Neurospora crassa OR74A: one gene and its partners. The main gene of each other region encodes a partner of the protein of the gene in region 3 in a complex. Links are inferred from orthologs where the notes say so. Each region holds a gene or a part of one and is shown on either strand. Other genes may lie near its edges.

The links.
Region 1: the proteins of NCU05972 (region 3) and NCU02539 are in contact, whole or in part, in a cryo-EM structure (PDB 7PT6), measured with the Saccharomyces cerevisiae proteins. The link is inferred for Neurospora crassa OR74A from reciprocal best matches to the Saccharomyces cerevisiae genes DBF4 and MCM4. Residues at the interface, in NP_010337.3 of Saccharomyces cerevisiae: Asp248, Arg249, Asp250, Thr253, Lys254, Arg255, Asp256, Pro514, Thr515, Arg516, Ala517, Ser518, Val519, Met520, Ser521, Lys522, Asn523, Met524, Leu527, Arg529, Leu530, Met531, Val532, Asp533, Arg534, Leu536, Gly537, Val538, Tyr660, Cys664; in NP_015344.1 of Saccharomyces cerevisiae: Leu177, Arg178, Ile179, Ile180, Trp181, Asn184, Ser186, Ile187, Gln188, Thr192, Arg195, Asn196, Met199, Ser200, Lys202, Lys204, Phe205, Glu222, Leu224, Glu267, Ser270, Ile271, Gln274, Lys277, Asp278, Val281, Ser282, Val285, Asp286, Glu297.
Region 2: the proteins of NCU05972 (region 3) and NCU04327 are in contact, whole or in part, in a cryo-EM structure (PDB 7PT6), measured with the Saccharomyces cerevisiae proteins. The link is inferred for Neurospora crassa OR74A from reciprocal best matches to the Saccharomyces cerevisiae genes DBF4 and MCM2. Residues at the interface, in NP_010337.3 of Saccharomyces cerevisiae: Tyr127, Ile130, Thr131, Asp132, Asp133, Glu135, Met136, Asn137, Thr138, Lys141, Gln164, Phe165, Phe166, Asp167, Thr168, Thr188, Ile190, Arg193; in NP_009530.1 of Saccharomyces cerevisiae: Glu179, Glu180, Leu181, Thr182, Ser185, Arg205, Arg209, Glu210, Ser213, Leu216, Glu217, Tyr218, Thr219, Gly223, Ser225, Gly228, Ile231, Glu251, Ser252, Ala278, His282.
Region 4: the proteins of NCU05972 (region 3) and NCU05194 are in contact, whole or in part, in a cryo-EM structure (PDB 7PT6), measured with the Saccharomyces cerevisiae proteins. The link is inferred for Neurospora crassa OR74A from reciprocal best matches to the Saccharomyces cerevisiae genes DBF4 and MCM6. Residues at the interface, in NP_010337.3 of Saccharomyces cerevisiae: Ala231, Pro232, Leu234, Ser235, Leu237, Leu238, Glu241, Pro246, Thr247, Asp248, Arg249, Asp250; in NP_011314.2 of Saccharomyces cerevisiae: Val103, Asp104, Asp105, Val106, Thr107, Lys110, Val111, Ala114, Glu162, Asn163, Ala165, Leu166, Met168, Ala169, Gln173, Arg176.

Annotation. Positions count from the first base shown.
Region 1 is NC_026501.1:2,663,366-2,668,311, reverse strand, and holds the start of NCU02539 (cell division control protein 54), read right to left. Parts: upstream 2,801-4,946; 5' UTR 2,591-2,800; coding exon 2,266-2,590; intron 2,203-2,265; coding exon 68-2,202; intron 1-67. Other genes in the region: NCU02538 (coatomer zeta subunit), read left to right, coding at 3,265-3,304, 3,385-3,486, 3,571-3,811, 3,885-4,128; NCU11234 (translation initiation protein Sua5), read right to left, coding at 4,366-4,946. UniProt on the Saccharomyces cerevisiae protein: Acts as a component of the MCM2-7 complex (MCM complex) which is the putative replicative helicase essential for 'once per cell cycle' DNA replication initiation and elongation in eukaryotic cells.
Region 2 is NC_026505.1:5,630,912-5,636,182, forward strand, and holds the start of NCU04327 (DNA replication licensing factor mcm2), read right to left. Parts: upstream 2,801-5,271; 5' UTR 2,649-2,800; coding exon 2,644-2,648; intron 2,561-2,643; coding exon 190-2,560; intron 48-189; coding exon 1-47. Other genes in the region: NCU04328 (metaphase-anaphase transition protein), read left to right, coding at 3,464-3,597, 3,652-3,706, 3,766-5,271. UniProt on the Saccharomyces cerevisiae protein: Acts as a component of the MCM2-7 complex (MCM complex) which is the putative replicative helicase essential for 'once per cell cycle' DNA replication initiation and elongation in eukaryotic cells.
Region 3 is NC_026506.1:3,250,134-3,256,031, forward strand, and holds the start of NCU05972 (sporulation-specific protein 6), read right to left. Parts: upstream 3,593-5,898; 5' UTR 2,893-3,592; coding exon 2,317-2,892; intron 2,250-2,316; coding exon 843-2,249; intron 791-842; coding exon 653-790; 3' UTR 1-652. Other genes in the region: NCU05971 (xaa-Pro dipeptidase), read left to right, coding at 4,282-5,817. UniProt on the Saccharomyces cerevisiae protein: Regulatory subunit of the CDC7-DBF4 kinase, also called DBF4-dependent kinase (DDK), which is involved in cell cycle regulation of premitotic and premeiotic chromosome replication and in chromosome segregation.
Region 4 is NC_026504.1:5,796,997-5,802,248, forward strand, and holds the start of NCU05194 (DNA replication licensing factor mcm6), read right to left. Parts: upstream 2,801-5,252; 5' UTR 2,615-2,800; coding exon 2,319-2,614; intron 2,254-2,318; coding exon 1-2,253. Other genes in the region: NCU05193 (hypothetical protein), read left to right, coding at 4,038-4,300, 4,363-5,252. UniProt on the Saccharomyces cerevisiae protein: Acts as a component of the MCM2-7 complex (MCM complex) which is the putative replicative helicase essential for 'once per cell cycle' DNA replication initiation and elongation in eukaryotic cells.

The DNA of each region.
Region 1 (4,946 bases), on a different chromosome or scaffold from region 3:
TTTTGAGGGGGAGTTGGTTAGTTTGGGGTTCATCTTCGTGTGGATTGACAGACGGGGAAAAACTCACAAGGACGTCGTTGGCCTGCTGGGCACTCTCGGGCTTGTCTTCGAGATACATGGAGAGCAAATGGCGGGCCAGACGCTGATCATTCTTCTCATCAACACGATCGAGGATGAGGTAGACCAGATCGAAACGGGATAGAAGGGTTGGCGGGAGGTCAATATTTTGCGGCACTGATAGATCAGGGTTGTATCTACTACCAATGGGGTTGGCAGACGCCAGGATTGATGTTCGGGCATTGAGAGTGGTGATGATGCCGGCCTTGGCGACGGACACGGTCTGTTGTTCCATGACTTCGTGAAGAACGGAGCGGGTCGATTCGTTCATCTTGTCGAACTCGTCGATACAACAGACACCGCCGTCGGATAAGACGAGAGCACCGGACTCTAGAACGAGTTGGCGGGACTCGGGATCGCGGGTAACATAGGCGGTAAGACCTACGGCAGAAGAACCTTTACCACTCGTGTACACACCTCTTGGGGCGATTCTGTGAACATAGGAGAGAAGCTGGGACTTGGAAGTGGATGGGTCACCACAGAGGAGAACGTTGATGTCTCCACGGTATTTGGGGCTTCCACCCTTCTCAAAGGTCTTGTTCGTGCCTCCGAACAGTTGAAGAAGAATACCCTTCTTCACATCATCCATCTCGTAAATTGATGGAGCCAAAGAACGTGAAAGGAGATCGTAGATATCCGGTCGAGCGGCAGTTTCCTTGATCCTCTCTTCCTCATCAGGAGAGACCTTTCGGACTTCGTCCATGCTCTGGCCATTAGCATGGGCTTCCTCCTCCTCGGCAAGGTCGAGGGTCGAGGGATCAGAACCCATCCTCTTGCGGTCGACCTTTTGTACATGGACAACATCAACATATGTCTTGTGCACGCTCTTGACCGTCCTCATGCGCGGGTTGACACGAACGGGGGTGACTTTAAAGATACCAGTGAGCTCAACTCTGTCACCGGCCTTGCAAAAGTCCACAAGCTCGTTATAGACGCAAACGGATACCGAGTGGGGTGTCTGACCAGCAGGCACGTTATCCGGAGTTTCTTGCAGCTTGATGACTTGCTTGTCTTCGAAAGCACATCTGTTGTGGATGATCTGCATTGAGTTCTTGGAGGCGCAGCGAGCCCGAGGACACTCTGTAGGCTCACGAATCTTGCCACGATCTAACTGAACGGTTATAGAATGACCACAAACACTGCACTTGAAAAATGCATCCTTCATGTCGGGGATGACCGGCGTGGTTCTGATGACAAGACCCTTGATGGACACAAGCTTGTCCATGTCAGATGGGTTGAGGTCACGGAGGTTGGTGATCTTGTCAAGACCCCACGGGCGAACCACATACGCCATCTGGCTGACTTGGTCCTCAATTGTGGGCGCCGCTGTTTGGGCAGGCCGCGGGGTGGGCGGTTCCTCGCTCCTTTCAGAGCTTGGGAAGTTCGGCTCCGAGCTTTGTGAGGCACCTGGAGCGGTCCTAGAGTTTTGGGATGCTCTTTGGCTGGCCATTTCCTTTTGCGCCAACTCCATCATACAGTCATGTACGCATTGATCCATGACCGGGATGATTTCGGTAGGATAGTGTTGGGCCTGATGCCATAACTTCAAGGTGCGCGGGTAGGACTTGAGGTCGCGGAGATCCAGATACAGCTTGTTGGTACCAAGCAGCAGCATATTCTCCAGTGCCTCCCAATATGGCTTCGAATCCGCATCCGGATGGCCAATAGTCTCGGCCTCGTCCGCGCCATCTGCCCACATCCGGTATTTCCTGGTGAAGTTCCTGAGAAAGTCCTTGAACGCGGAGAACGAATCGTCAAGAGAAATTGTTGTACCCCAAACAAGACCTTGGCTTTGTCCACCAAGGGCATCTGCCTCAGAGGTATTGGGGTTATTGGTGACAAACGAGTTGGCATCGGAGCCAGGGGCATCGCGGATCACACGACCGGCGTCGTCGAGGATGATTCGGCGGGGAATCTGGGCGGGAGTACGAAGAGGGTCCCCGTTGATGTCGCCTCGACGGGATCGACCGGCAACGGACCTTTGCGAGCTGACGAAGAGCTGACTGCTTTCGCTACGAAGATCGGACTGTTGAGTAAGCTGACGGCCCGGGCTAGAACTGGAGGCATAGCGGATGGGAGAGGAGTCTGCGGAGTGTGGTCAGCATTCAGTGTAGTCCTTTTTTTTTTTTTTTTGGTTGACAGCCATACCCCCAATTAACTGGCTCCGTCCGTTTGCGCGAGGAGTTCGGTCAGCATCGCTCTGGGTCTCTGTCTGCTGGCGCAAAGGCGAGCTCGGCGCATTGCCTTGGTGGGCAGTGCTCTGGGTATTGCTCATCTGCCTCAAGGGAGAAGATACCGGGGCGGCGCCATTGGCAGGCGAGGAGGGCTCGTAGAATAAGGGACTAGAGGCAAGCTGTGATGCGCGTGTCTGGCGAGGAGTTGCGCTCGAAGGACCAGCCTGCGAGCTGCGAGTAGTGCGGGGAGTAGCTGATTGGGAGCTTCTCGTTGTTCTGCGCTTTGCTGGGGAAGACATGTTTACTACTCTGTCCTCGGTGGTTTTGTTGAGATAATACAAAGTATGGAAACTAAACCAACAAGAAGGGACAGAAGACGGGCAGGTTGGGATGGAGACGCTGGAGTGTTGTTGTGGCGGCTCCCGATCCCTCTGTAATTGCGAGGTGGTTGGCAGGTCGGCAGCGTGTTCAGGACGGGCAAGGTGGATCACGTTCCTATCGAAAAAAAAGACAGTCGCGACACACGCGTCTCTGATAAAAGCACTTTACACGGCCGTTCGTGTCTGCGGGGGCTTACTCGCGTTGACCCATTAAAACCCCTGTCATACCCAAATGAGACGGACGAGGCCACTGCAGTGCTGCTCTTGAGTGCGAACTGTCAGGTACGTAAGGTACGTACCGCGCCGTGGGGCCTCGCTTGGAGTGTTCGCTCTGGATTCAAGCCACATCACAGGGACCGCTTCACCCCACAATACCCACGCTCACCACGGTAACCAACGATACCGCCTGCCCCTGGTCATTGTGAGCACTACCTACCTACGCAGCACCTCTGGAGTTCAAGCTAACCACTATATACCTACCCACTTGCGCCCATTGAAGTCGAGTTGCCCCTCGTCGCCGACCTTCTCCAACCGATACCAGTCTCGAGACAGCAATTGATCAAGAAACAAGAACCCCCAGATAACCAGTCAAGATGTCGCCAGGAATGTCGCTGTATAGCGTCAACGCTATAGGTACACTAGGCACCACGCTGCTCCTGGGTCCTGGCTTATACGCGCCACGTCGAGCAATGTTGACAATTGCGTTCCAACAGTAATCCTCTCCAGCGATGACGGTTCGCGGATATTCTCAAAATACTACACTCCTCCTCACGCTGCCGCTGGCGCACCAGGAACAGGAGTGGCCGCCGGACTCGGTACGCAATAGACGCTCCTTTTACCCCTTATTCGGTGTCGCATGTTCCCGTAAGGCTGACCAGCCCGAACCTTGTGCACAACAGCTTCCTCGAGCGCTTCCCAGAACCCCTATCCCGACAAGACTTCTCAAACCCGTTTCGAGAAGGGCCTCCTTCAGAAGACAGCTAAGCAGACGGGCGATATCCTCCTCTACGACAACAAGGTGGTGCTTTACAAGATGGAGTCGGACGTTGCTATCTACGTCGTTGGTAGCGCGGACGAGAACGAAGTTCTGCTCTACAACGTACTTTTGGCGCTTAGGGACAGCTTGCATATGCTCTTCAAGTGAGTATTTATGGCGAACGTGAAGGTGCCGGTCATGGGACATGATTTGGCTAACCACGGACTTTCTACTCAGGCAATCGATCGACAAGCGCACGATAGTCGAAAACTACGATCTGGTATCCCTCGCTATCGACGAAATCGTGGATGACGGCGTTGTTCTCGAGACCGATCCCACCATCATCATTCAACGATGCAGCAAGGCGCCGCCTGCCGATGTCAACCTCAGCCGCCTCGACCCCTTCACCGAGCAGGGTGTCAACAACTTGGCACAACTAGGCAAGGCTAAGCTTACTGACTGGCTTCGTCAGGGTCTCTAAGGGCATGTGCGGGTGGGTAATGACAAGGGAAGGAGTGTGGCGGATGGGAGCAACCAAGGTAAAGTTGGCGCATTGGTTCGTAAAAAGGTATCAGGCCCTTTTGTTTGGCGAGCCTTTTTATGGCAGAGTAATGAGCCAAAGGCGAAGCAAAAAGACACGAAAAGCCAACAAGTGATGGGTTAGCAGAAAACAGGAGTTATAGTCTTTTCCCTTGCGATCTATAGGGTTTGACCCCGTCTATATTCTAATGTCGGAAGCGGCTTTCCTCAGCCTGTTCATGACCGCCGCCGCGATATCGTCTCCATCACTCACACCCTCTACGAATATTACATCCGCGCCGCGCCTGTCCAGCTCTCGGAGGGCAGCGAAAAGGCCATGTGCCACCCCCTTGACATCGTTGCCCAGATCAATCTCCAGAAGCCTTGCCAACACCGTGGTGCCGTCCTCATCCAGCCATTGCCCTTCCCTGACAGCGAACCCAGTCTCGGCCACGTCCCCGCTGTCCTTCGCAGCAACATCATCAAGCCCCTGACTCCTCAACCCCCCGGCAACAGGCCATCTCCCCGTCCTAATAACCGCAACACTCTTCACGTTTCCCTTGCCCTCCTCCTCCCCAGCCGCTTCAACCGCCTCCCTCACATCCGCCTTCGGTACCTCCCTCCTCCCTCCCTCCGCCTCATACAACACCACCCTCGCCTTCGGGCTATAATGCTTATACTTCATCCCCGGCGCTCTCGGCGCCGTCTTTCCTCCGACCTCTGCCTGATCCTTATACGCCTTCTCCACGCCTTCCCACCCCTTACACTCCCTAATCTCCT
Region 2 (5,271 bases), on a different chromosome or scaffold from region 3:
CGGCAGAAGGCTTCGGAGATGCGGATGATGGCTTCCAAGTGACGGACCTAAGGTGGTGGTGGGTGAGGTTAGCAGTTGTTATTGTGTTGTATTTTGTGACGGAGGAAGAAAGAAAAAAAAAAAAAAAAAAAAAAAAAAAAAAAAAAAAAAAAAAAAAAAAAAGGAAAAAGGAAAGAGGGAAGAACTTACAGTAATAGGATAAGCCCCCGTCGCCAAACTCTCCCTTCTCATATCCGCAAACAGCCTCGCCACCTTATCCTCATCCATGTGATACAACTTTGGCTGGCACCGCTCTCGGGCATAAAGGATATACTTCCTCAACAGCTCTTGTGGGATTTCGCCCTCTTTTTTACGGCCGTGTTCACCAGTTTGTTGGGTTTCCGCAGCAGCTTGGGTATCGTGTTCAACCTCCATGGAGTCACCACCGCTAGCGTCCTGCGTGTTGTTGTTCATCAACGGATGACTCCTCGAATGCGACCCGACAATGAAGCGCGCCAGCCGCTCATCTTCTTCAGGCTCGACTGTGTCGCGCACGACGCAAAGGATGTCGAAACGAGACAGAATCGGCTCGGTAAGCTCCACGTTGGCAGAAAAGGGAATGGTAGAGTTGTACCGCCCGCCAATAGGGTTAGCAGCGGCGATGATTCCGCACCGGGCTTGCAGGGTCGTGACGATACCGGCTTTGGAGATAGAGATGGTCTGCTGCTCCATGGCTTCGTGGATGGACGTGCGGTCCTGGTCGTTCATCTTGTCGAACTCGTCGATCAGGCAGGTGCCCTTGTCGGCGAGGACGAGGGCGCCGCCCTCGAGAGTCCATTCGGACGTGAGCGGGTCGCGCCGGACGGAAGCCGTCAGACCGACGGCGGAAGCACCCTGGCCGGTGGCGAAGACGGCGCGGTGGGCCGTCTTTTCGGCGTACTTGAGTACTTGTGATTTGGCGGTACCGGGGTCGCCGAGGAGCAGCACGTTGATGTCACCGCGGATGTGGTGGGCGCCGACTTGCTTGGCGACGCCGCCGAAGAGGGAGAGGGCGACGGCGGTCTTGATGTCGGTGTGTCCGTAGATGGAAGGGGCGACGGAGTTGATGATCTTGTCGACAATGTGCGGGTCGCGCGAGAGACGGCGAATCTCGTGCTCGTCTTCCTCGGTCATGCGGAAGCCGGCGAGCTGGTCGTGGGATTTGACAATGTTGTTGGCTTCGAGGATGGTGGCGAAGACGGGGAAGCCGTTGCGGTTGTTGAGCTGCGCGTCGTAGTTGTTGCGGTAGATGCCCGTTACTTCGATCTCCTCGCCCGGCTTGGCCTTGTCGATCAGGTCCCAGAGGAGAATGACCTCGCGGTGACGGGGCAGACGACCGGCGGGAACGGTGCCGGGGGATTCTTGGAGGGTGAGCTTTTGGTAGTTGCGGTAGACGGTCTTCTCGGAGTTAAGGGTGAAGGGGCCACGAGACTGGCAGGACTGGCAGTAAGAGATCTTGACTTCGACGTTGGACTCTTGCTGGAAGGGACCGAGAGTGACGCCGCACTTGGTGCAGTCGAACTTGACATACTTGAGCTGGGGGAAGACACCGGTGCGGCGGGTGACGACACCGCTCACGCGCACAAGACAGTTGAGGTGCGACTGGCGGAGCTGACGGAGGGTATAATGGATAGGAAGGTCGAAGATACGGACGTGGATCTCGGCGTGAATGCGCTCGTAGTCGGGGTAATGGAGAAGGACGACTTCCATGGCAACCTCGTCGAAGAGCTTGAGCATCTCGGTTGGCGCATTGGCGAGGAAGTATGCGAGAATGGCCTTGGCTGTAGCGAGGTGCTCGTAGGAGACCTCGAGAGACTCGGCGTTGATCTCACCAAGAGTACGGATGCGGTTGCCGTAGACGGACGAACCGCTCTCGTCGGTGTATTCTGTGAGGAAAGCCTTGAACTCTCTGCGGATGGTCTTTTGTACAGCCGGGACTGAGATCCATTCGCTCAAAGTGGCAGCCTTGACATCCATCAGGGCCTCGAGGGGAAGTTCCGAGTCCATAATGTCGCCATCCATATCGACATCGGGGTCTTCATTGTAGCGGATTCTTCGGCGGCGTTCCAGGTTGGTAAGGTCGATATCACCATCGTCGTCATCACCAGGAAGATACGTGGTGCCCATTCCCATCCTCACTTGACGGTCTCTCTGGGCCAACTTGGCTTCAAGACGGCGCCTTGCGGCGGGGTCGAGGGCCTCATACTCGTCATCGTCGATGTCAATTCCTTCGTAGGCGTCGTTTTCGTCTCGTTCCCTATAATCGCGCTCGAAGCCTTCGCGGAACAAATCTACATCGTCTTCGGCCAACTCGTCGAGGTCGTCAATGTCGTCTTCGATTTCAGCGGCGACGTCTTCCTCGATGTCGTCGTCCTCATCTGCGCCATGGGCAACTGGGAAGGCGGGAGGAGAAGAGGGCATGACAGGGCTCGAAGCGCGGGGAAGCGAGGAAGCACCATCGTGATCGTTACGCGCACGCTTGCGAGTGGCCCTGGGAACGGCGCCACGGTTGGCAGAGGACGGGTTGTCGCGAAGCGGGGAACTGGTATTGGAGAGTTTCCGTTAATTCACTGTTTACTTGCGAAGAGAAGCCGTGACAGACGAAAGAGCAAGAGGCACACATACCTCATGATTGCGACTTGGCTGAGGGTATCTCAGAGGACTGTAGCCAGCTACAGATGGAAGAAACAAGAGAGTGGAGGATGCTGGCCTAGTTGTTACTATGGAGAATGAATGCCAGCCAGAAAGAGGATATGTTGCGGGGTGAGACAGAGAGAGAGAAGGGGGGGGGGGGGGGGAGGGGAATGGAGACAAACAGCGTCGAGGAACCACTGAATGAATGTTGCCCTTCGTTGCGGCGACCTTGTCCCTGCTTTTTTCTCGCGTTGCAGTCCAGGGAAGACGCGCCAGACGTGATGCGCTAAGCCGGATAAGGGCGGTCGCGTTAAGTGGTTGCTGAGGTTTAATGGGCTTGGCAATGCGTACCGGACCCACTTGGTGCTGCTCTTACACGCCAATTCGACTCGTCGAGATTCCCAAAAAGTCACAAAAGCTCAAAGTCCAGTGAACAATGACGAGCAAAGCATGAGCTATAAGGTGCTACATACTACAGGGCCATGTTATTGATCGGATCACGTTCAAATAGGTTTCCTTGAACCCAATTCCAATCTGTGCTGCTTGGACATATAGACCACAGTGCCTTACACCAAACCAAGGGTACATTGCAAGCTCGGTCCTTCTCCCCACGCTTCCACCAACGCGCCCTCCTCCTCCTCCTCCCCCTCCTCCTCCTCCTCTTCGCGCCCCAGCAATTGTTTTTTGTTTTAAAGACTTCCGGACAGAACCCATCTTTCGTGATCCAGCACCATCTCGAGGCATTTGTCTTATCAACAATTTTGATAGACCACCGACCATCCAAGATTGACCGTGAAAGCATCCATCACCCATGGACCCTCAACCGGCGCAACAGCCCGCCGAGGCCACTCCAGATGGCCATGGAGCTCCAGCACCAGTCGCGCTCACCAAGACTCGTACTGAAAGCTTCTCCGCCAAGTCAGAAAACTCTCAGACTGCCGCAGAGTATGTTGTCATATATTGGACTTACCACATGACAAAGTACTAACCATGGTCTAGCTTCATCCGCGACCAAATGCAACTAGAGGCCGACGCTCGCGAAGCTCTTCCATACGTGCGTGTCCCTTGTCTTCTCTGCCCTTTTCCTTAAAGTCAATCCTAACCTCCCACCAGAGCATCGAAACCTGCACCAAGCCCCTCGGCCCCCTCCGCCAGGCCGTCTTCTCCTGCCTGACCTGCAACCCACCACCCGCCGACCCGAAAGCGCCCTACAATGCGGCCGGCATCTGCTACTCCTGCTCCGTCCAGTGTCACGGCGAGCACACTCTCGTCGAGATCTTTGCCAAGCGCAACTTCACCTGCGACTGCGGTACCACACGCTTCCCGCCCACGAGCCCGTGCAACCTGCGCATCAATGAGGAGACGGGCACCAAGGGCGGCGTGCACTCGGAGGAACCAGATGTCAACAACAAGTACAACCATAACTTCCGGAATCGGTTCTGCGGCTGCGAGTGCGATTATGACCCGTTTGAGCAGAAGGGGACCATGTTTCAATGTCTGGGCCTAGGCACGGCAGAAACGGGTGGTTGTGGGGAGGATTGGTACCATCCTGGGTGCATCGTGGGTTTGGGTCCGGATTGGTTTGAGAAGATGGACAAGAAGGATAAGCCCAAGTCTGCGGCGCTGAAGACGGAGGTTAAGACCGAAAATGGTGCCCTACCTACAATTGCGGAAGATGAGACAACAGAACAGAACGGCGCCCATGCCGAAGAGGCAGAGGAAGACGAAGACGAAGACGACGACCCACCTCCACCGCCTGGCTTCCCTGCCGATGACGACTTTGAGGGATTCATCTGCTATAAGTGCGTCGAGGCGTACCCCTGGATCAAGAGATACGCGGGTACTGAAGGATTCCTACCGCCTGTCTATCTGAAGAAGGAGGAGCAAACCATTAGTACCACCTCGGAACTCAAAGTCAACGGCAATTCCTCATCTAAGAAGCGCAAAGCATCTGACGAGGACAACGAACACATCGAGGAATCCCAAGAAAAGAAGCCCAAAACCGATGAAACCGTCCATTCAACGACTACCGCCATCACTACAACCGAGTCCCTCACAACCAACGGCTCTTCCACCATCACCTCCACCACCAACACAACAACCCTCACCACCACAGACTCCTCCACCACAACCCCCCACCCCAATCCCAACCCCAAACCCTGCCTCCTCTCCTCCCTCCCCCCACCACCTTCCCAAACCTCCCAAAACTCCCCCTTCTCCCTCTTCTTCACCACCCCCTCCTTCCGTTCCCTCCTGTGCCACTGCCCCCACTGCTTCCCCCTCCTCATCCCGCACCCCCACCTCCTCGAAGAAGAAGACACCTACGAACCCCCCGTTTCCGAAACCTCCTCCTCCTCTCCCTCCCACTCTCTACACGGCGGCGGCGGCGGCGGAAGCAGCAGCAAGGGGTCGGGATCGGTTCTCGAAAGAGGCGAGTCGGCCTTGCGGAATATCGATCGGGTGCGAGCCATTGAGGGCGTCATGGCTTATAACCATTTGAAGGACAAATTGAAGCCGTTTTTCAGAGAGTTTGCCGAGAGTGGGAGGGCGGTTAGTGCGGAGGATATCAAGGCGTATTTTGCAAAGTTGAGGGGGGATGACGAGGTTAGAACGGGTGGA
Region 3 (5,898 bases):
ATGCTATTTTGCATGCCATCACAAGCTGTCCACCTCTTCCTCTTCATGAGCAGACCATAAACCGCCGCCCTAGCCAGGAACCATGACACCAACAATGACTATGACCCAACCAGACATCGGCTTCCGTACCATAACCGGGTATCCCCTTTGCCATTCCCTTGACATAATGAGAATACGCATACCGGATTGTTTTTCCACATAATGCTCGCTTGCTTGGTCCTCAAGTGACCATAACATAATGCCACTTTAGCCGTTTCCTCAACACCCCACGCACGACGACAAAGCCAACCGACCTCAGCAGTAGAACAGCTTGAGCACTTAGCCTTCATGCCAAGCTTCCTTCAGTAATGAAACAAAAACCGGTTAGTATGAACAAAGAAACAGAATAACGCCCCATCAACGACAAGCCACCGGAACTCCCGCGCCCAATTATGCTGGTAACGAACTTGTGCGTTGGGACAATTGAAGAAAAAAGGGAAAAGAAAAGGAAACCTCTCCAATAATGAACGACACATGACACCGCCACATGATTCCCGACTGACTAAAGAGAAACAGGTCAAAAGGGGAGATGAAGAAAACAACAAGGGAAAGCAAGTACAGCTAGTCGTCAGGAGCCATGGGTAGGTTTCATGTGCGGCAACATGGCAGTAGTTTACTGCCACCTCTCATCACCCACGGACCGATAACGCGGCTCGCGGGGAGCGCGCGAGAGCTTGCCAAGGAGAGCGTCGAGCTGGGCCCAGTTGTCGTCGTTCTCGGCGAAGCGGCGATGCTTGCGGGAAACAATATGCTACCGTCATGTTAGTAAGCGTCATAGTATGCCTGATATTGAGGAAACTCACCGCATCAAAGTCCTCGAACTTATCTTGACAGTTTTCGCAGTAACCCGGCTTGGGATCGCGCGGCTTCGGCTTTGTCTGGGGGACGGGTGTGCTCGCGGTCCTGCGCAATTTTCTCTCCTTCTTGGCCTGCTCCTGCTTCCGAGCTTCATCGTCCTCCCAGATACCAGGCATCGGGGGTTTGGCCGGATTACCCAAGCTGGCGGCACGAGTGCACTGGGCGGCATCCACACCAATCTCGGCCAAGCGACGAACACCAGAGTCTTGCGAAAGAGAAGGACCACCAGCTTTCTGAAGAACCTTGCGCTGAAGACCCAAAACTTCCTTGCTGATACCGGCCTTGGCGCCAAGGACACCGGTGGTGGACGACACCATCTGAGAGCGAATGGCGGATGTGAGCTTGTTGGCCTGGATGCCAGAAGCGACGGGCTCTCCGGCTACCAAACGGCCAACTTTGGTGGTATGGCTCATAAAGGCATTCTGCGAACGGAAATCGACCGAAGGGGTGGGCTCCTTGGCTGACTCGACGGTTTCGGGGGCATCATCAACAACTTCGGTTGCACGGTCGTTGGGTGCTTCCATCTCCTTAAGAGTACGCTTTCCCGTAACCGGCTTGGGTGATGGTACCTCGGGGGGCTGGAGGGTCTTGGTAGCCTTCTCGGTAGCGGCGGCGGCATCTGCAGCTTTGACAACTTTCTCCTTGGTCTGAGTCTTTTCCCGCCTCGTCCTTTCAGGGGGATCATAATCCTCAACAAATGGGCAACGGCCCTGGGATGCCACACGGAACTGAGGCCATTCGCCGTCCTTCTTGTCGGCAACTCTGTGGTACTCCCTCACCATGATCGGCCTCGTCTTCTCCTCAATGTCGTACACATAAATGTAGGGGCCCTTGAAGTAGTGGATGTCCTTGGTAACAACGGTGGGATCGCGATCGGAGGGGCCGTGAACACGCTCATTCTGGAGCATTTGGAGTACATTCGCAGTCTGCTGGCGAGCCTTGGCCCTATCCGCGGCTGCTGGTGTGTGGCCTCGGCCCAACAATGCCGCCTTGTACAAGTCCGTTTCAAGGACCATGCCGAGAATCCTCTGGAGTTTGTCAAGCGACCAGATCTTCTTGCCCATGTCCCGCGCACGGTGCAGGATGTCGGTGCTGCGTGCTTTCGGCTTCGGCATCGTCTCTTCCTGGGGCTGCACAGAGGATTTCCGGAGTGAGGGCTTGTCGAAAATGAGTTTGCGTCGGACCGAGTCGCCATTGCGGTTCAGGAGAGAGGGATCGATTGTCTTTGGCTGTTCACTTGTCGATTGCGTGTTGGTAACGGGCTGGTTCTCGTCCTGGACTGGCTTTACAGGGGGGATAGGACGGGTGGTGACGACATGGGTGATTTCGATGGAAAAGAACTTTTCCTCGCGCTGTGACCGAAGTGTAAGTATAAGCCGAGCGGTTGGGCCTGCATTGGGCAAGGGGTCGTTGACTTACAGCGCCCAATTGAGCGACTTGTTTGGCGAGCTTGTGACGTTGCTCGTCGGGAATGCTCTCAAAGTAGAAGACCATCTTGTGAAAGCGAGATCTCATAGAGGTTTGCCATATACTAAGGTCTTCAAGTTCCTTTGCGGTGATGCGGTCGGTCGTCGTGGTGGTGGAGGTGGTGGTGGTGGTGGTGGAGGCGGCATACAACCTCTCGGCACGGGTGGTGGTGCTGGTAGCCACGGTGGTGCCTGATCTAGAAGAAGCCCTTTCAGGCCGTTCCCGATCAATGGGCCGGGATATGGTCGAGGCCTTGCGCGTGATATTGGACACATTGGACCGGGAGCTCGTCGGCGAGGCGGCGGCGCGTTGACCGCCATGTTCAATCATCTGTCTCTTGGCCGGCGGTGGTTGACCGTATGGCTCCTCTCTAAGCTGATCGGCATGGGAGCGGACGGCGGCCTTTTTAGAGCCCTGTAGTGCCAAGGCGGTAGCCGAGGACCCACGCAGCGGCGAGTTGGCGGCATTGGGGTTGTCGGAGAGAGGAGCCCTCTTGGTGCCCGCGGCAGTGGTGGTGGTTGACGACATTGCTGTGGGATGTCGATCTAGCGATACTGTTGTCTTGTAAAATATCCAGTCAACATGCTATGGGTGTGGTGTTGTTTCTGTTTGTTCCGAAACGCCGGCTCGGGGATGGTAAGGGAGGGAGACAGTTTCCGGGCTGTCTGTCTGGTCGCGTGCTGGTACTAGCTTGGAGTTTGGGTAGGGGGACCCCGGATAACTATGGTACACCAAGAATCAAGTCGTGTGCTGAGTGCCGACTCGACAGACAAGACAAAGTGGTTTAGGCTCGGTGATCGATGGTGTCGATGGTCGAACAATGGCCCAATGCGGTCGGACAATTATTCGTCGTCGATCGTTGGTCGTTGGCTGGGAAGGAGCAAGGAAGCACTCGACCCTGGCCTGGGCGCAAAACAACTAAAGTGAGGCGGTTGGTGGTGGAGGTTGGGGCACAGTTGTCTGTTCTTCCAAAAACGCGTCTCTCGATTTTTGTCGCTGGAGGTTTTGGCTCCGTCGTCGCAGTGGCACGCGCTGAGCTCCGGTGACGGGAAGGAAGAAGGGACCGTTGTTGAACAAAACTAAGGAAACGGCTAAGGCCAATTGGATGATCTGCGCAAACCTTCCAATGTCGAATCGCGCCCGAAGTCAGTCGACGCCCGGTGCGAACAGGCCAAGATCCAATGTTCTGGTGTTGGTGGGTGGTCAAAAAACCTTTGTGTAATCAAAGTGTTTGGTTTTGATAATGACAGTCGCGACAGCAGGGTCCAGCAGGCCAAACCTCTAGGCAATGTGGGGGGGGGGGGGGGGGGAGTGCAGGCGCCCGGCCCGGGATGCTTGCACTGGCTGCCCTACACTGAAAAGCGCTGACAATGAAAATGCACCCACGCCTGGCAGCTGTGGTTTGTTGTTGCTGTCAGGTCGTGCTGGGGAATGCCAACAGCGGCTCCACATCCGCGGCTTGCAGCTGGCAGGCAGCATTTGATGCCCGGGCAGCGAGACCTGGACTCTTGGCAGTCCAGTGAAGCGCCTGGCAACTGTCAGCATTCATTTGAGCAAAAGTGAGAATGATAAAGTGACGAGATCCCATGTCTTTACCTTTACGAAACATACCTACCTATGAACCGACCTCTTGTCCGTCGCGAAGCAATTCAACTTCATTTCTCGCCGTACCTTGTTGCTTGGGGAATCTGGAGGTTGGTAAAGGTTGAGATTCCGACAACCCCATGATCAGTTTGTAGCTAGACTTTAGGTGCCGGTAGTCCTAGTAAAATACGTATCATCAACATTGCGAGCCATCCCAAACCAAGTTCACCTACGCCACCAACCCGGCGAGCCGAGGTGAACTCACACCTCGTTCTCACCTAACCACCACATTCCTTCCCCTCATCACCCTTTGACAACCACCCTTTATTTGACATGAAGCTTCCCCAAGCCGTCCTGCGGCAATGTTCTCGACACTTGCGCGCTCAGAATAACTGGCCTCTCCAACCACGTCTCCAATCTGCCAAGTCCATCCTCCCCGCATCTCACCCAAGCTCACCACCATCAACACCATGGCGCCCATCCCGGACATACGCAACGACGACGACGACGACGACAACAGTCTCAGCCGCCGACCTCGAATTCGGCCAGCCCGTCTACGAAACGCACCCCCACATCCTGCAACCGGGTGAACTAACCCCCGGCATCACGGCCCAAGAATATCACGAGCGACGTTCCAAGCTCGCCTTCGCACTTCCCGAAAACGGCATCGCCATTCTCGCCTCCTCGGAACTCAAATACCGCTCCGGCGCCGTCTTCTTCCCCTTCCGACAGGACTCCAACTTTCTGTATCTCACCGGATTCTCCGAGCCCGACTCGCTGGCCATCATCCAAAAGACGGGTCCCAAACCAGGCGACTACGTCTTCCACCTCTTCTGCCGGCCCAAAGACCCGCGCGCCGAGCAATGGTCCGGCCCCTGGTCCGGGCTGCAAGCAGCCGAGGATGTCTTCAACGCCGATTTTACGGGGGACATCGCCAAGGTTGAGACCTTGCTGCCACCCATCCTGCGCGGCGCCGGCAAGGTCTACACAGACATCACGCCCTCCACCCCCGTCACCGGCCAACTCGTCACCACCCTCCTCTCGCACCTGCACCTCCCCCCGGCTCCCCTAGCCGGGCTCGTCCACTCTCTGCGGGCCATCAAATCCCCCGCCGAGATCTCCAACATGCGCCACGCCGGCCGCGTCTCCGGGCGCGCCCTCACCTCCGCCATGCGCCGCTCTTGGTCGTCCGAAAAGGACTTGGAAGCCTACCTCAACTACGCCTTCACCTCGCACGGCCTCTCGGGCCCCGCCTACGTGCCCGTCATCGCCGGCGGCAGTCGGGGCAACATGATCCACTACGTGCACAACAACCGCCTGCTCAACCAAGACGACATGGTCCTCGTCGACGCCGGCGGCGAGTACGGCACCTACATCACCGACATCACGCGCACCTGGCCCGTCAACGGCAAGTTCTCGGCCCCGCAGCGGGACCTGTACGAAGCCGTCCTGACCGTCCAGCGCAAAATGGTTTCTCTCTGTCGGGAGAACGCCACCTTGTCGCTGGACCAGATCCACCGCGCCACTGAAGCCGGTCTGCGCGAGCAACTTACTTTACTCGGCTTCGATCTTTCATCAGGGGGAGGAGGCAGGATGGATGTGCTGTTCCCTCACCATGTGGGCCATTATGTGGGGTTGGATGTGCATGATACACCCGGTTACTCGAGGAGTTTGACGCTGAGGCAGGGGCATGCGGTGACGATTGAGCCGGGCGTCTATGTGCCGCAAGACGATGACCGGTTTCCCGAGCATTTCCGGGGACTGGCGGTTCGGATTGAGGATAGTGTGGTGGTGGACGTGGAGAGCCCCTTGATCTTGACGACGGAGGCGGTTAAGGAGGTGGTGGACATTGAGGCTTTGAGGGAGTGAGTGAGTGAGTTTGCGGTTGTTGGTGGGGGGATGATGGGTTGTCGTTTGTGTGTATATATATATAGAAGGGCGGGATGTATT
Region 4 (5,252 bases), on a different chromosome or scaffold from region 3:
GCCGCAGACGGCTGTCGGGCAGCTTCACCACCCATGTCGACGTCGCCATCTCCGTCCATATCGGCCTCGGGCACGCGCGAAGCAGCGGCGGCGGCGGCTTGCAAGGCCTCGGGGGAGTCGGCGGGTGGTTCGGGAGCGTCTTCCTCGTCGTCTACTTCGACGTCGTCGTGTTCGACGGAAATGATCGACTGCCGCAAAAGGTGGAACGCCTCATTAACAAAATCGGGCGTGATTTCCTCGACGCAGTTGGCCTTGGCAATGGCTTCAGACAGACGGATCATACTCTCCAGCTGTCTGACGGTGATTCGGTAGCTGTTCTTGCCGATGCCGCCCTGGGCGTCGTCGGCGCGCAGGTCCTTGTAGCGCTGCACGAGGACTTCCTTGGCTTCGTCGGTGAACTCGGGGCGGAAAGTGCGAGCGAAACGAATGTACCGCTGCAGTTGCTCGGTGGAAAACTCGGGCTCGATGGCTTGGTCCCGGTTTTGGTGCAGGCCGACAATGTGTTCGGCCAAGTGGCGGTCGACCTGCTCGTTGCACTCGTCGAGGATGACGAAGAACAGATCGAAACGCGACATGATGGGCGCCGACATGTTGATGTTGGCGCGCAGGGTGGTCTTGCGGTTGTAGCGACCTCCGACCGGGTTGGCAGCTGCTAGAATCGAGGTTCTGGCATTAAGCGTGGCCTGAATACCGGCCTTGGCAATGGAAATGGTCTGCTGTTCCATGGCTTCGTGGATGGCAACCTGATCGGCAATGTCCATCTTGTCGAACTCGTCGATGCAGCAGATGCCGTTGTCAGCGAGCATGAGGGCACCGGCTTCAATGGTGAATTCACCGGTTTCTTCATCCTTGACCACGGCAGCCGTAAGACCAGCGGCGGAAGAGGCCTTGCCGGAGGTGTAGACTGCCCGGGGAGCAAAGTTGACGACGTACTTGAGAAATTGGGATTTGGACGTCGAGGGGTCGCCGACGATGCAGATGTTGATGTCGCCACGGAGTGCCATGCCTTCGGCGGTGGTTTTGGAGACACCAGACAAAAGCTGCAAGAGGATACCCTTCTTGACGACTTCGTGACCGTAGACTGTGGGTGCCAAGGACTGGACAAGGCGTGCGTAGATGTGGTCGCTGTGCACCATGGCACGGAGGTCTTCCATCTCGGCAGAGGTGTAGGAGCTCAGCAGAGCTTCCTGGGCTTCCTTGATGGTCTCGGCTGTTTCGGCCGCCGCGCTGCTGTTGAGGGTACCAACAATGTCCATCAGAAGGGCATCGCCAGAAGCACCGATTGCCGACACATCAGGCGTGACCATGCAAGCCAGGAACGCCAAACGGTAGGTAAGATCGCGCACACCCAGGGCCTTGAGACCAGAAACACCACTGCCACCGGCATCCGCACCCCGATCATCACGCACCGACACGTTCCGCACACCCGGCAGACCCAATTGACTGACATCCGGCACCACGATCAGCGCACCCGTAAAGATACACTTTTCGCCGGCCTTGGCGCGATCCACCAGTTCGCCGCGCAAAATCACATCCATTGTCCTGGGCATGCTTCCTGTGGGAATCTCGCTACTGTTTTCCTGCACGCGCACCTTTTGCCAGTCCACAAAGGTGCTCTGCCTGATGTCCAGCTGCCACGAAGTGCGGTTCTGGCACGTCAAGTTGGGACACTGCGTCGGTTCGGTGTATCGGAACGTCTGCTCGACATTGGGAACGACGGCGTAGCAGGCCTGGCAGACAAAGGTGGCCAGAGCCAGCTCGGGCCGGACCTCGGAGGTGCGTGTGACGGTGCCGCTAATGGCAAGAAGCTGGCCGACGTTGCGGGCGCGCATGGAGCGCACGCGCGAGACGAGGGGCAGGTTGTAGAAGGCAATGGCAAAGAGCTTGTCGGTTTGTTGGTTGGGGTTCTTGATGCCAAAGTCGGACTGGCTCGCGTTGGCGCCTCGTGTGCTGGCGGCTGTCGTGGAGTGGGCGCTGGATGCCGTGGGCTGGCGATGTTCGTTAAAGTATTGGGGTTCGTGGGCGGCGATTCGGCTATGGAGGGCGGCTGTGAGGAAGGGAAGGAAGCGGTAGTACGAGTTGGTGATGGCCTCGGCGAGGGTGCCGTCTTGCCATGAGGCGACGTGCTTGTAGTCGACGTAGAAGGTGGATAACGAGTAGGTCCTCATGCCGTGGATCTGGGCGACGTAGTACTTGTCTGTCGTGACTGCGCTCGAGGTTGGTTGGCCGGACGAGGTGGGTGTTTCGACGTAGCTGGCGCCGGTGTCAGCAAGTACACCAAGTAGTACATGTTTGGCTGGTTTCTTGGATCTTCATACCCGTCAATGAAGGCCTCAAAGGCTCTCTGGACCATGACACCAATCCTATCCTGAACCCTGGGGATGTCGGCAATGTTCCGAGGCCTCGAGCGGACGGGGACCTGATCATCAGCGAACCCTTCCTCGCCCTCGTCTTCGCTGGCCGCTCCGAGGCTTTCTGAGGGGGGGCCTCGTGGACGAGCTGAAGAGGAACTGGGATGACCGTTTCGCGCCCTGGGAGTAGCTCCTCCTCGCGAAGCGATTCCGTCCGACATCATGAAGCCAGCATCGCTGGAGTGTGCCATTGGTGTTGCCATTGTGTTATGGTGTTGCTGTGGTCCACCTGGGTATCAAGGAGAGTTGGTGGAGATTGGAAGTTGTCGAGGTCAAGATTCAAGTAGAGATATGAGAACCCAAGGGACCAAGGACTGACTGGTTAGTGAGTGGAAGGAGGGGAAACTGTGACGAGGGGAGGGGAACTGAGTCCTCCCTGTCAAGAAAACACGATAAAACACGCGCCAGAAAAGCTGAAGCGCGCCAAGACCAGGAAGCTGGCGCGCACAAGTGGGGCCCTCTTTAATGGCTTCGCTAGTGGGATATAGATTGGATAACTGCATACCACCTGCACTTGGCCACAGAAATTCAACCTCTGGGGTGTATCGCCGAAAGCAATACACTTGCTGTAACGAAGCATCGCCATTCGACTCTGCCTTGTTCGTACGACGACCCGACTTGCCCTACCAAGGATTCAGCCTCCTGGTAGAAGTTGCCTACTATGTCTTTTAGTGATTCCAGGCCTTTCGTGTGCCGAATGAGACCTTTTGCAATTCTCTCCCAACTATTTTCATTCATTTTGATTTGAGAAATCCTCCAGCAAGATGCTCCTTCCTCACAAGCCGTTGCAAAATGGGTGATGCTTCTTCCATCCATTGAACAATTCTGTGTGTATTGACGAAGCACAATTTTCTCGAGCTGATGCCCTCTTCCCGCTGTCGGCACTCTTTATCAAGTGCCACACAATTGTCGTCGCTCCCTCGGTTCCTCGAATGCAGTGTTCCCTCCCACATCAGCCAAACTGAACTGTCAATCGCCCTCGTCCAATTTCCTCAGCCTTCGGTGACATCCATCAACCAGCTTGCCATGGTATCTTGCCATTAAAACCGGCCAGCTGCCAGGTCAAGTCCGTGGTGGTTCTCTATAACATCCGAGTTATGTATGTATGTCAGACAAGGTACAACACAAGAAGGTGAGTATAGTGAGGTCGAACCAGTCAGAAGTGGTCCCGGTCATGTTCGGTCCCAAACTCCAACATCTCCGAGACATACAAGCTGCAGTGTTACCACAATTTCATCTGGGCTGATAGGCTTTAGCCGAGAGCATGCCAGCCCTTGACCACCCACATCAACCCGCGGCCAAGAACACATGTCCTTGCTTGACGTGACGACCTTCTGCAATCTGGTATCCGCCTGCCCCTCCCCCCGATCAGATCTCTGGGCTGAAACGCCATGTAGGTGGGCAGCGTGGCGGCGAACCTGATCTATCTTTGCCATCACCCCCCTTCCTGACGTCTCAGCTTCTTCTACCACTCCACAAACAACAGCAATGTTAGATCAGTAGTCTCTTGACATCAGAATGGCTTGACAAGCGAAACAAAGACACTATCAGCTGACTCGGCCAAACAAAGCTTTGTGTCAGAGAAGATCGTATCTGGGCCCGCATTCAGTCAGTCAAAAGTCCAAGATGAACAGCAATACGGACTTCACTCAGCTATGGCATCGCCATTTGGCCAACCTCCGCCATGACTTCTCGGCTGGAGCTGTTGACAACGCTCGTGTACACGCTTCGCCTTCGAAGCCGGCAAGGAGCATGGATGGAAGAGGAGACAGTGAAGCTACGCCCAGGGGCGCTGATCATCATGACATCCAAGCGACGTCGCTCCCCGTTGGACTCGAGTGGGACGGAGACATGGAGATGGTGATTGGTGCTTTGCAGGAGCTTGAGGTGTAAGTTCGGCCAACCTGACATCTGATCCCAAGACAAAACGGCTAACGGACATCCGTAACAGTCAAAGCCCTATCACCGCCACCGAAGCCCTCAGTCCCGATTCTCCGTGGTTCAGAGACCATCATCTTCGCCGTGATGCCGATGGTGATGGGGATATAGAGATTGAGACTGTGGCGTCGTCACCGCAAAATTCGAGCTGGTCGAGGACCGTCGCGCCTCCGAAAGCACAGCGAGCCCGTTTATCATTGCAACCACAGCTGAAGAGCCCCGTCAACCTCTATACGTCTGCGGCTGCTAAGGGGCTTGATACAGATGCTAAAGCACGGACAGAAAGAAGATACTCACAAGACTGGTCCAGAGATCATGCAACACTCCTCTCACACTCTCAGCAGCTATACGAGACTTACTCGGCTTATCCAGCATCACTAGCTTTCAGTACTGCTCGACCTGAACCCGAGACCGAACCACCAGAACCAAAAACCAGGTTCAGCTCCATCTTCTCGCCCTCTCAGCGCAGTCGACATGCACAGCTAACCGAAGAAGTCAACGTCTTGATCCTCAGCTGGGCTACGACAACCACAACAATAACCGCCAAGGAACAAGGGCCAATCAAACTCAGTTCAAGTCGGCAAGGGATCAATACCTCCACGGACTCCGTTCGAAACTGCTTCAAACGGCTCGGATATCGAGTCCAATGCCGACCGATTCCCGAGGACTATCCTACTGCGGCTGTGGAGACCCTGCTGGCCAAGTTTCTCGCGGACTCCGATACGGGCCAGGGGAGGAAGAAGTTGCTAGTCATTTACTATGCTGGGGGAGCGGACATGGTTGGAGGAAGGATGATGTTTGCGAATGCGATTGGCTCGAGTCATTTCTTCTGGGAGGACATTCGCGAGCCCATCATGTCGAGTGAGAGTGACGTCTTGCTCATCCTTGACTGTCATCACTCCA